3 linked regions of the Coturnix japonica genome follow. The protein of the gene in region 1 interacts with the protein of each later gene in a pairwise test. Links are inferred from orthologs where the notes say so. Each region holds a gene or a part of one and is shown on either strand. Other genes may lie near its edges.

The links.
Region 2: the proteins of FEZ1 (region 1) and PDCD7 interact in a two-hybrid assay, tested with the Homo sapiens proteins (2 studies listed by BioGRID and IntAct). The link is inferred for Coturnix japonica from reciprocal best matches to the Homo sapiens genes FEZ1 and PDCD7.
Region 3: the proteins of FEZ1 (region 1) and PAM16 interact in a two-hybrid assay, tested with the Homo sapiens proteins (2 studies listed by BioGRID and IntAct). The link is inferred for Coturnix japonica from reciprocal best matches to the Homo sapiens genes FEZ1 and PAM16.

Annotation. Positions count from the first base shown.
Region 1 is NC_029539.1:76,961-81,272, reverse strand, and holds the start of FEZ1 (fasciculation and elongation protein zeta-1), read right to left. Parts: upstream 2,823-4,312; 5' UTR 2,808-2,822; coding exon 2,702-2,807; intron 2,685-2,701; exon of another isoform or gene 2,663-2,684; coding exon of another isoform or gene 2,590-2,662; intron 1,366-2,589; coding exon 1,065-1,365; intron 1-1,064. UniProt on the Homo sapiens protein: May be involved in axonal outgrowth as component of the network of molecules that regulate cellular morphology and axon guidance machinery.
Region 2 is NC_029525.1:16,083,921-16,088,257, reverse strand, and holds the start of PDCD7 (programmed cell death protein 7), read right to left. Parts: upstream 2,820-4,337; 5' UTR 2,784-2,819; coding exon 2,067-2,783; intron 1,376-2,066; coding exon 1,237-1,375; intron 934-1,236; coding exon 697-933; intron 265-696; coding exon 177-264; intron 1-176. UniProt on the Homo sapiens protein: Promotes apoptosis when overexpressed.
Region 3 is NC_029529.1:11,175,980-11,179,101, forward strand, and holds PAM16 (mitochondrial import inner membrane translocase subunit TIM16), read right to left. Parts: upstream 1,886-3,122; 5' UTR 1,793-1,885; coding exon 1,790-1,792; exon of another isoform or gene 1,765-1,789; intron 1,571-1,764; coding exon 1,486-1,570; intron 1,283-1,485; coding exon 1,143-1,282; intron 968-1,142; coding exon 902-967; intron 720-901; coding exon 633-719; 3' UTR 560-632; downstream 1-559. Other genes in the region: coronin-7, read right to left, coding at 2,174-2,179, 2,259-2,345, 2,422-2,513, 2,581-2,716, 2,784-2,900, 2,972-3,061. UniProt on the Homo sapiens protein: Regulates ATP-dependent protein translocation into the mitochondrial matrix. Inhibits DNAJC19 stimulation of HSPA9/Mortalin ATPase activity.

The sequences.
Region 1 (4,312 bases):
TGCCCAAACTGACCCAAAGTGACACAATCCACAGCACTAAGTGGCACCATGGGCTGCTGGTGGCAGCGCAGCTTTCTGGGCGTTCTGCCAGAATTCATTTTGTTCTCTGCAAAATCACTGATTTTTCACTGGAAAATACAAAAACAGCTGAAAAAAAAGAAAAAGAAAAAAAAAAATTGAGAGCTTTTGGTTTAAAAACAACCACTTTGCATGGTGAAAAATCAGTATTAGGAAGTGCAGCCTGGGGAATAATCTCAACTAAACAGGCAAAAAGAAATCCATTAGGAAGTTGTTTGTATGTCAACACTGCTGGCAAATTCTGCCCCTAAATGGCATTTTGCAACAAAAAAAAAAAAGGTTTCATAGGAAAGTTAGATTTCAGAGCAAATGCCACTATGATGCTTCTGGCTGGAAAGGCAGCACTGGGCAGATTTTGCCCCTAACAGCCCCACTCTGGTGCACAGTTTTACATTGCAAGGAGGAGGATGAGCCCTCACCTTACTCACACCTTACTCTCTGCTCACACTTACCCCCAGCTCTCCTCACAAAGCCTGGACCCTCTGCAGTGTCATGTGGGGCACCTGATGTGCTCACTTGTAGGATACTACACATACTGCATGGTATTGCATTCCCATGCTGCAAGGAAGGACCTGATTTGCACACGGAGGGTGCCCTGCAAGCACTCAAGGGGGTGCACAGGCCCCAGATGTGCCCTGCTCATAGGACACAACACAACACTCCACACAGTCATGCTGCAATGGGGCAAGCAGGTTTCCATGCTGGGGGTGGGGTGTATCTCACAGTGATGCAAGGAGACATGCAGGCCCAAGTGTCCTATGTGTCCTATTTGTAAGACAGCACACAGGAACTCCATGCATATGCACAATTACAGCATGATGCAGGATTCTGAGCAGCACATGGGGGAAGTCTCAGGGGTATAAGGAGGCACAAAGGCCCTAAGGGAGTTACTGCACCAAAACTGTGGTGCACTGCATGATCATGCTACAACATGGGGATGGAAGTGCAAGGAGACCCACGTTCCCAGCAGGAACAGCCTTACTCACTCCTCATCCTGGAGGTGCTCCTCCTCCTCCTGTGCCTGCAGCCGGCCTCTCACAGGGGCCAGGCCCTCAGTGGTGGCATCGTAGTTGCGGAAGCAGACGGTGAGCTTCTCATCAAACTCCTGCACCAGATCCTCCATCGACTTGAAGCTCATCATCTCAGTCGAGAAGCTCTCCAGCTCAGCCAGTGCTGGGTCCATGGTGCGCCGGGGGGTCCCCCCATTGTCCCCAAGCCCCTCCTCGAATTCCTCCTCCAGGCTTACCAGGGGTGCTTCCATCCTCCTTGCCACCGCTGCCGTCTTAGCTGTGGGAACAAGGTGCCCACGAGGCACCTGCTGCTCACAGGCTGTGTCAGCAGGGCTCCCCAGTCCCTGTGCTGGCTGTAAGCCCAGTGTCAGTAATATCCCAGTAGTACTTTAGTCCTGTCTTGGTAGCTGCTCAATAGTATCCCTAGAGCTTCTTCTCTTTTTTTGGGGGTATCCCAAAAGCTTCCTTGAGTGCTCAAATAGCACTTAATAGTACCCCAGAAGCATCTTACCACTACCTGTCCTCATTCTCTAGCAGTAGCTCAGAAGTATTCCATTGGCATCACAGTAACATCCTACTAAAAACTGAATACTGTTCCAGTAGCACCTTATCAGTGTTGTGACAGTATCTCAACAGTATCACAGTGGTACCCTGATGCCATCTGAGCAGTGTCCTAGGAATGGCTGTGCAGTATCTTAGTAATAGAGTGTGCTCCTGTATCTCAGTAGAAACCCACCACTACTGGCATTCTATCTGATGGCATTTTGGTAAATCCCTGCTAACACCTCAGCAGCATCCCAGAATTGTCCTCCAGGCCTGCAGTCCTGTGCAGGTGTGTAGTCCTGCACATGGAGGGAGTGCATGCCTGCACAGAGGCACATAGATGGAAGGGTGCACGTGTGTACAGTGCACAGGCATTCTGTATGCACACCCGGGGTGGCTGCATACACATGCACTTCATAGATGTGCACTGTGCACGCATCATTGTGCACCAGCTTTGTGCACACCTGCACCATTCACACGTATCCTGCTTTGTGCACCCCAAGCTCTCCACTACACACACCGCATGCGTGCACTGCGCATGCCCCTGCCAGCATCCCTCATCCGTGCAGCTCATTGCACGGCCCCCCCGATGCGCCCCAAACGCCCCCAGCCCCACATCCCCCTCCCCCGCCCCGTCTCACAGCGCCTGCGCGCCCCGCAGCGCTGCCCCCGCACGGCTGCTGAAGCGCATCGGGCACCGGAGGGGCGGGCAGCTCCTTGTTGCCCCCCCACAACCGAGCACCCCCAAATCCCATCGCTACGACCCGTGCGCAGCACCCAGCGCGCCCCCCGCCCAGGGGCGCCCTCACGCGATATCCGCACACTGCGCAGTGATGCCCCCCCCCACAGAGCCCCGCAATCCATCGCGCTGCATCTCCAAAACCTTTCTCCAGCCCCCACCCCGCACACATGCAACGCCCTGTGCAACCCCCATCAACTCACGCACACATCCACGCACCGTGCACCCACTCCCCTCCGGCTGCAGCCCCAGTTTCTCGCACTCCCACACCCCCACGGGGGTCCCTCCCCATGTCCTCCCCCCCCTGTGCTCCCCCCAGCCCCGCACCCACCTGCGGCCCCGCATCCTCCGCTCTCCGGGAGAAGGTTGACGGGGGGAGGGCGGGGGGGGGGCGTTGCGCACGCGCGGAACGGGCTGGGGGGGGAGGGTGACGTCATCTGAGGAGCTCACGCCCCCCCAGCCCCCCCCCATCACCCCCTTATCCCCGGGGAAGGGCAAAGGAAGGGGGGCGCGGGGCTCTCACCATCATTCACATCTTGCCTTCTACGTGCTCACCCTGCTCAACATCATCATCAGTATCACCTTCATCCTCATCCTCCTCATCCTCCTCCTCCTTGTCCTCCACATCGTCCTATTTTTCACCTTCCTACTCCTCCTCCTCATCCTCATCCTCCTCACAGCCTTTCTTTGGGTCATGCACCCCCCGATACACCATTCTCCCCTCCCTTTAATATATATGTATTTATTTATTCATGCACTTCTGCAAGCGTACAAATATATTGCATCCATTACAAAAATCAGACTATATGAATATATATACAAATGAGATGAAGCTGAAACAAGATCTCTTAAAAAGCTATTAACTATGCAAAAGTCCCTTTTCCCTCTTGCCTCAATGCTTTTTTTTTTAAGGGTCCGTACATCCATCTCTATTCTCTGTAACCCTGAGTGAGCAGCAGACCCTGCACCCCCACCTGGAGGCTGTGCTTTGCCACGGCTGTGAGTGCGATGCACTGCAGGGATGCACAGGGCAGCGCTGCTCCTGTATCCACACACACCTCCCAGACCCAGCGATGCTGCAGGATTTGCTGGAAATTTCCAGCTTCCCTAATGTCATCCTTTTGTTCTTGCAAACCAGCACAGAGCTCTTGTTGCATTGTTGTGCTTTTAGCAAATGGTCTCAAAACACCCTGAAACTGAAGGATTTCAGGGTAGAGAATTCAGTTGGCAAGGCTTTGAGGCTGCATACGTGAGATAACACATCGCAGTGTCACAGCTGCCTGGCGACACAGCACACTGTATCTGGGGGAAGGAAAGCAGCATTTTGCAGTACAACAGCTCTGGAAAAGCTTTCTGCTTTGAGAAAAAAGGGTTCCCATGATCCCACCCCATCTCATGGTTACAGCATCATGAAGGTCTATTCTATTCTATTCTATTCTATTCTATTCTATTCTATTCTATTCTATTCTATTCTATTCTATTCCATTCCATTCCATTCCATTCCATCCTATCCACTCCATTCCACTCCACTCCATCCCATCCATTCTATTCCATTCCACATTCCACTCCTTATTTCATTCCATTCCATTCCATGTTCCATGCCATTCTATTTTTACAGAATTAACTCCACCCATGCCACCCTGCAGTGCTCAGACACTTCCAGCTCCAGCACCTTTGCCCAGGGCAGTGTTGGGAATGAATTTCTCATGTGTCCCCATAACTCATGTCCTTTTTAATTCCATTCACTGCTGCCGACAGTGACACAGTTTTTCTGTAAAACTGTTTTTGTGAAATAAGTCATTTACTGCTGAGGACGCATCCCCTGCTCTGTGCCGTTGCCAGCTCACAAAGCCTTCTTTTGAGCATTTAGATTCTCTGTATCTCCAGCAATGCTTCTTCCCAGCAGTATCTGCATGCAAAGGCACACACTGCAGCTCATCAC
Region 2 (4,337 bases), on another chromosome or scaffold:
ACGTGTTTCTTAATACCAACCAAGACACAAGACTATAAACCGTGCTCTGTATTTAAGAAGGAACTGGAAGAGTTCATCACACGCCATACGTGGAAGTTAATGAACTATAATACTGCGACTCAACAAACAATACTTGTCACCTTAGACACCAAAACAAAGACTGTGTTTGCTTTTACCTGATCTGGATTAGAGCTGCTACAGAAAGCTCGGCTTGTAAGTAGTATTCCCTGAAAGGTTGCAGCAGATGGGCCAGAGGAAATTCATCTGTTAAAACACAGACATAGAAATTGTTTAATACACCAGAGAGTCCTTTGATCCCACTGTCTGAGAAGTTCCACATTTGCTGACTAGTTTGCTGATCCCCAGCTTAACTTGAAACCCTCACCTTTTATTTTCATGTTATGCACATCTCGCCCTTCCCAAAGCTGTCAGAGCAAAGCTCAGACCAGCAAAACTTTTCCCTGTCTCTGTCCTCTGCACCATGGGAACATATGGACACTGAATTGTTTTATATCACACAGACTGCACTAACCAAATTGTCAGAACGAAGCACCTGCTGCACGCTGGAAGTCTTCAATCTATTCTGTTTATTCCCACCTCAGTGTAACCTACAGCCTCTTTTGTGCCTGTATTTTAAACCCAACGCCTAAGAGTTGAAAGCAATAAACACGGTGAAGTCTGGCAGGCAGGATTTACCTGGATCCCCAAACAGCTTGGAATCAATGTCACGCTTCTGCTGTAGAAGCTTTTCCCTTTCCTTCTTCTCTTTCTTTTCCATTTCTCTCTTCCTTTCTTCCTCCTGTTCTCCTTCCAGCATCACTCTCAGCGCTCTCTCCTCAGCCTCATACAGCTCTGTGCGATTTTGGAGCAACGCTCTGAGACTTTCCACCTGATTTTCAAAGGCTTCATCTGCCGAGGGAGGTGGACAAACGCCTAAAGAGAAGGAGAATTAACATCACAAAACATTCACAAGGAGCTGTTATGAGACTTAAAAGCAGAGCTGGCAAAATCTCAGACAGGCACAAGCTAACAAATATCTCAACAGGAGTTTTCTTCTGGTAAGAAAGAGTTTGGAAGCATAGGAACAGTCGCTGCATCCAATCTGCTGTCCTGCATCCCATAGCTATCCTTACAGAACAACATAATGACAATAATAAAGAAACAGCTTCTTCAAAATGCACCTTCCACATCCCGTTATTTCCCGTGCGCACCATTAGAAGAATTCCCCTAATTAACCTTTCTTGGCAGCAGCTTCTTTCCTCAGTTTCCGAAGCTTTTCCAAGGAGCCCAGGATGTCCACCATCCTCTTGGTGTCTGCCTGCTTCTTCCTTACTTCAGATAAGACGCTGTCTGCAGCAGCCTTAAGCTCCCGCTCCTGCAAAGGAAAGAGAAGCAAAAGGATGAATTATCCCACACAGACCAGAATGAGAAGCTACTATCAAAAACAGAGTCCCCCTACCAACATAAACTGTTCTGACTTCACAGCTGTGCAGTTCCAGACCATTAACGTGCCAGTCTGGATACAACACTTTGCATATCAGCTGCTCTCTGCCACCCCAGCAATAGGCCCAGCAACCAATGCAGTGCCAACACCACTTCCCATTGAGCTTAATTTGGGTGGGTTTTTATTGTTATTTTATTGCTTTGGAACCTTGCCCACTGCCTGTATCCCTCTGGGCCTTCAGGGACAGTATCCCCACCAGGTGAGCAGTTTGCACTGCTCTTTCTGAATAGAAATGTCTCCTAATATTCAACCAGACCCTCCCTGACCCAACTGGAGGCCATCACCTCTCATTATATCGCTGTTAATGGGAGCAGAGGCTGAGCCCACCTCTGCACAACCTCCTCTCATGAGTTACATAGAGCAAGGAGGTGTCCCCTGAGCTCTTTGATGGACCCACACCAGTCAGCTGCTGCTCATGGGACAGCGTTCCACACCTGCCCCTATATCCTTCTTATTGAGGGCCCTAATGCAGCACACGGCTGGGGAATCCATCCTCTGCCGATGACACAGCTCCAATTGGAGCCCCGGCTGTAGGCACAGGGCTGAGGCCGCTCTTCCATACCCGGTTCTTCTCCTCCACCTCCTGGATACACTTTGCCCTCCATCGGTCGATCTCGGCCTCCCTCTCCGCAGCTCGGGCCGCCTCCTCCTCCTTGGCTTTGCGGGCCTCCATCTTCCTCCTCTGCATCCTCTCCCTCCTCTTTCTCGCCTTCTCGGCCTTCCTGCCCATTTCCCGCAGGTAGCCGGGCTCTCTCAGAGGTCTCACCGTGTCCCTCAGTCCCTCCAGCAGCTCCTCGGCCTCCTCCCGCTCCCGTTCCCATCCCTCCTCACAACCCTCGGCCTCACGGTTCCTCAGTGCCCGGCACAGCGCGGTGAGGCGGCTCACGGCCCGCAGCGCCCGCACCGCCAGCTGCCGGCCGAGCTCGGGGCTGGCACCGCAGGGAGGGAACGGGGACACAACCGGGGGGACCCGCCGGGAGAGGAACTGCGCCAACCAGCGCTCATCGCGCTGCCGATCCGCATCGCCATCGGGGGGCAGCGGGGGAGGAGGACGGTCGGGTGAAGGCCACGGGGGGAAGAGCGGAGGGACGGAGGGACCGCGGAAAAACGAGCCGGGTTCGGATGGAGGAGGGAGGAGGAAAGGAGGGAGAGCAGGGCGGGATGCGGGGACCGGGAAGGGAGAGGGGGGCGGAGGGAACGGAGCGGGGGAATGAGGGGGGAAGGAGCGGAACGGCGGCGGAGTAAAGCGGGAGGTGAACGGAGGAGGGGGCTGCGCCATCTTGGAGGAGCGGCTGCAGCAGCGACACCTGGCGGCCGGGAGGAAACGGGGCTGGGGGCGGAGAACAGCACTGTCCGACCTTAACCCTCCCACTATCCGACCCGACCCTCCCACTATCCGACCCGACCCCCCCCTAACACAACTGGAGGCCATCCCCCTTCTTTCCTGCCCATCCCCAGCCGAACAGGAGCAGCAGGGATGACACAGCTCCATCTCCCGGGACTCATTGGTTTTATTCAGCAATAAGGTACAAACTGAGGTTACACAGCATTTGTTTCCTTAAAAACAGTTCTTGATTCTTAATAATTGCAAACAATCCCAAAACAACTTCCAAAACTAAAAGTTGTTGTTTGTTAACAGTTCTGCCTAAAATGGTTCTTTTTTGCAATCCATTAAAAAAAAAACGAAACCAATCTGGATTAAAGAAATCTTGAATTAAAAGCGATTCTATTTCTCACTCTACAAAGAGGAAAATGAGGACAGGTTACAGCTCACCACAGGTTCCCATCTAAGAGGCGATGGAGCTTCTCCTGGAAACACCCTCAGCTCTAAAAGCAGCTTCTTTCGAGCCGTGGATGGTGAGTGAACAGAAGGTGGAATCCTAAGGCGGTACCTGATGCATCTGGCTAACAGGGTCCTATGGAAGAAGGCAAGGATTACACCACTATCACTTCAAATTTACATGACGAAAACGAACAGAAAACAAGGGCCGAGCATCCGCAGAACCCTCCCCTACCTAAAACACCTACAGGATGGATAGAAAAGAACCAGACGAGTTAAATTGTTTAGGAGAAGGGCTGAGTAAAACCTAAATCCATCTGAAGGACGAAACCGAGTTGTAAGCGACAACTTTAATTCCTGAAACAAACTGCAAACGTAACAGGTCCATTTGGGGCTTTTACAAACACTTTCCTAAGGGACTGAATTCATTTGGGTGTGGGACAGAAGGCCTTGCTTTGCTGTGAGCCTACAAACCAAAGACAAAAGCACAAGATGCAATACTACAGCATTCAAGCATATAACTTAAGCAGTGCCGTGTGAACACTCGCTACCCATTACATCAAAAATATGATACACTTACTTTTCGTCTCTTAACATTATAAGATAGGTTGGGCAAATAGCTGGCACCAAAAAATTGATGCATGATCGTTCCAATATGTTAAACAAAACGTACTATATTAGAACATTAATATTTAAAAAATTTAAGCCAACTTGGCATCCAAACTCTGACCACCCCCTCCTTATTTCATTTACCCTTCTGGCAAAGTGAGCTCGTTATTGTCTTCACCTTCATCCTCAGCACTTAAGGTGACCGTAACTTTCTCCCAATGGGGAGGTGACCAGCAGGATGTATTATTCAGTATCCAATTTAACTAACAGCCCAGCGGTACATTGTTAGCATGATCTCCCAGCGCTGTCTGCAGGGTTGTCCCCAAGCTTTTCAGAGTCCTGGTGCAAGGGCTTCCCCTCCCAGCCCATGTAACAAATCGCTCCAGCACTGCTGGCTCCCAACACCAGCAGAAAAGCAAACACTGACCCGAGCGTTCCCCCATG
Region 3 (3,122 bases), on another chromosome or scaffold:
TTTATTAAGAAAACAATAAAGTGAAGTTGAAGTAAGTTCCTGTTTCGGTCTGTAACTGCTGCCTGCCTGTGCCCAGGGCCCGAGGGCAGCAAGGAGCCAGAGGTTGGGGACAAAGCACTGAGCTCCTGCCAAGGGACAGAGCTGAGGGCACAGCCGGCCCTGCCCGGCCCCATGTAGGGAATGCAGCTGGGGACAGCCCTGCTGTGTCCTCATAGGGCTCCTCACTGCTGTGCCCGACCCAGTGCCCGTCCCTGCTGCCCATCTGCATGCAGCTCCAGAGCCAGAGGTATGTGTGCAGTCAGGCTGCGAGCATCCAACCCCCATTAAAACAGCTCCTGCAGCCCCTCCTGGGTGTGACTGGAGCCCTGGCTGCCCTGAGGCCAAGCTGGGGACACCCTTCCTTCCCAGTGCCACCTCCATCATCTGCAGGGCAGCACTCAGCCCGTGCCGGCCCCTATAGCTGGGTCAGGTTTCTGTGCTGCACACCCACAGCCATGGGGCAGCAGCGGGGCTGGGGCCATCCTCGGTCCCTCCCAGGGCGCAGAGCAGCCAGGCCAGGTGGTGGAGGACACGGCATTTATTGGCCACCTATAACTTAAGGGAGAGGGAAATGGGGGTGTGAGTGACAGCGGTCACGTCTCGGCTTTCCAGCCTTTCTCCTTCTCATCCTTGGCCTGGATGCGCAGCTCCTCGTCCAGCCGCTCTTTGGCTCTCACCACCTGCAGGACGAGGCGATGGGTTGATGCAGAGCTCTCCCTTTGTGGCACTGATGGGTTCAGCCACGTAGGAAGCAGTTTTGCCCCAAAACACCTGTTTCTGGAAGCTTCCTGCCCAACCAACGGCAGCTGGATGGGCTGAGGGCAGAGCTGGGGGACTCCACAGCTCTCCTCCCTTTGCTCACCTTGGACTGCAGGTAGAAGGAACCTCCCACCGACTTGTCGTTCACCTTGAATAAATGGTCGTAGTTCTGCCAAAGGAAAACCCCCATCAGGAGCTGCTCCCTGCACCTCCCTCCCCAAAACACAGCGGGCTGTGGCTCCTGGAGCCGAGGCTGCTTCAAGGGCAGCACCTACAGACCTCCAGGAGCCCCCACCACCCTGTGCCAGCTCTCCCCAGCCGCGTTGCTCTGAAGGAGCCTTTACCTTCTGGATCTCCTCTGGGTTGAGGTTGGAGACGTTGAGGATCTGCTGAGCTTCCTGGAGGCTGATGCCGATGATCCTGGAGGCGGCTGCAGACTGAGGCCTCTCAGAGCGGCCCCGTGCATCTGCTGCAGCTCGGCTCGCTGCCCAAGGACACGGTCAGTCCTGAGCCCCCACAGCCCCGGGATTCCCGGCAGCTCCGAGCCACAACCCCCCATTGCAACCACCCACCCCCCGCAGTGTCACCCGGCTCCACTCCCCGCCCGGTGCTGGGGGTGGCACCATCCCGTGTGTGCACGGAGCCCCCCCCCGTGTGCTGTGGAGCCGGTGTCGGTTCATGTCGTACCTGCGAACTCCTGGCGCAGCGCTCTCATAAAGGCCCGTCCGACCACCTGGGCCCCCACCAGGATGATCTGCGCCAGGTACTTGGCCTGCGGGCACAGCCCCGGTCACGGCCCAACCGGCACCGTGTGTCCGGACAGGCCTCGCTCCCACCGGGCACGGCCCAGAACCGCCCCCACCTTCCCGGCCCCGTCCCACGTCCGCTGCCCGCAGCTCCCCGATCCGTCCCGTCCCGTCCCGCCCCGTGCTCCCCCCCCAGCTCCGTGTCCCTCCGGTTCCGCACCCCGCGCTCATCCCGCCCCGCTCACCATGTTCCGTCCGCCGCTTCCGCTCCCACAAGGGCGCGGGGTCAGAGAGCGGAGGGCGCGGGGCGGAGCGCCGCCTCCAGCCGGACAACAGCGCCCCCTGGCGGCAGCACCGAGCGGGAGGTCCGGGCCAAGGGCGCCGCGCGTGCGCACTAAGGAGGCGGGAGAGCGGCCGCCATTTTCCCCCCGCCCCTCATGATGAGGATCCCTCACAAGGAACAGGAGCCGGGCGGGGATGAGCGGCTTTAATGGCGGGATGCCGTGGTTTAATGGTGGAGCTGCAGTGGTTTTAATGGCGGTGCCGTCCCCCAGTGCTGGTCCAGTTTAAGATGAGTCCCATCCAGTGCGGCCTGTGCTCCGTGCAGTGCCCTGTGCTCCTCCTGCGGCCTAGTCCTATGGATGCCGGTGTCGGTGCAGCCCATGGCCGGTCCTTGGTGTCCAGCCCTCCCGTCCCGCTTCCCCCCCAACTCACCCACTCATCCTCATCCACCCCTTCGAACGAATCCTGTGGCAGCGGGTCGTGCCGGTTCCCCAGCCGTGCCACCATGGCGCTGAGCAGCTGCGGACAGACAGGGCCGTGTATTGGGGTGGGTCGGGGCATCGCAGTGCTGTGTCCCCGCCATCCCCACACTCACCTCCTCCTTCTTCTGCTCGTCTGTTTTCTCCCCCAGATAAACGGCCGCAGGGACGAATTTCCGTGCAGGTGCCTCCTTTGGGGCCTGGCTCACTGCGGGGGCAGCGTGATGTGGGGCGGCCCCACAGCTTGGAGGCCCCGCGCTGCCCCATACACCCACCTGGCACCATGTCTGTGGGACGCAGCTCCACGCGGCTCTGCTGCCCGTCTGCTCCTTGTAACCAGCTGCTGGCGCTCAGGGCCGGCTCCCACCACACGCGGGTGGGAGGGAAGATGTCCTCTTGGAAATACTCCTTCTGCAGGACGTGTGATGGTGAGCACAGCACGATGAGCTGTACCCACACAGCCCAGCCCGGTGAATACCTTGACACGAGGCACACGGAACGACACCGGCTCCAGGCTGCTCTGCCCCAGCCGCAGCGCACGCGCAAACTCCACGTCCCGCACGTCACACACTGTCTTGCGCAGGAAGACGAAGCCCTGGAGGAGCAAATACATGAGCAGAGCTGGGAGCATGGTGGGCAGCACAGCCCCAATGGACACCCCCTCACCTTGTGGGGGTCGCTGGAGGTGAAGCTGTTGCACTCAAGGAAATAGGGCGGCTCGGGGGTCACCTCATAGAGGAAGACTCTGGTGTCACCCTGGGACAGTGGGATGGAGCTGGTGTGAGGGCACGAGGACCCTCTACCACGGTGCCCTGTG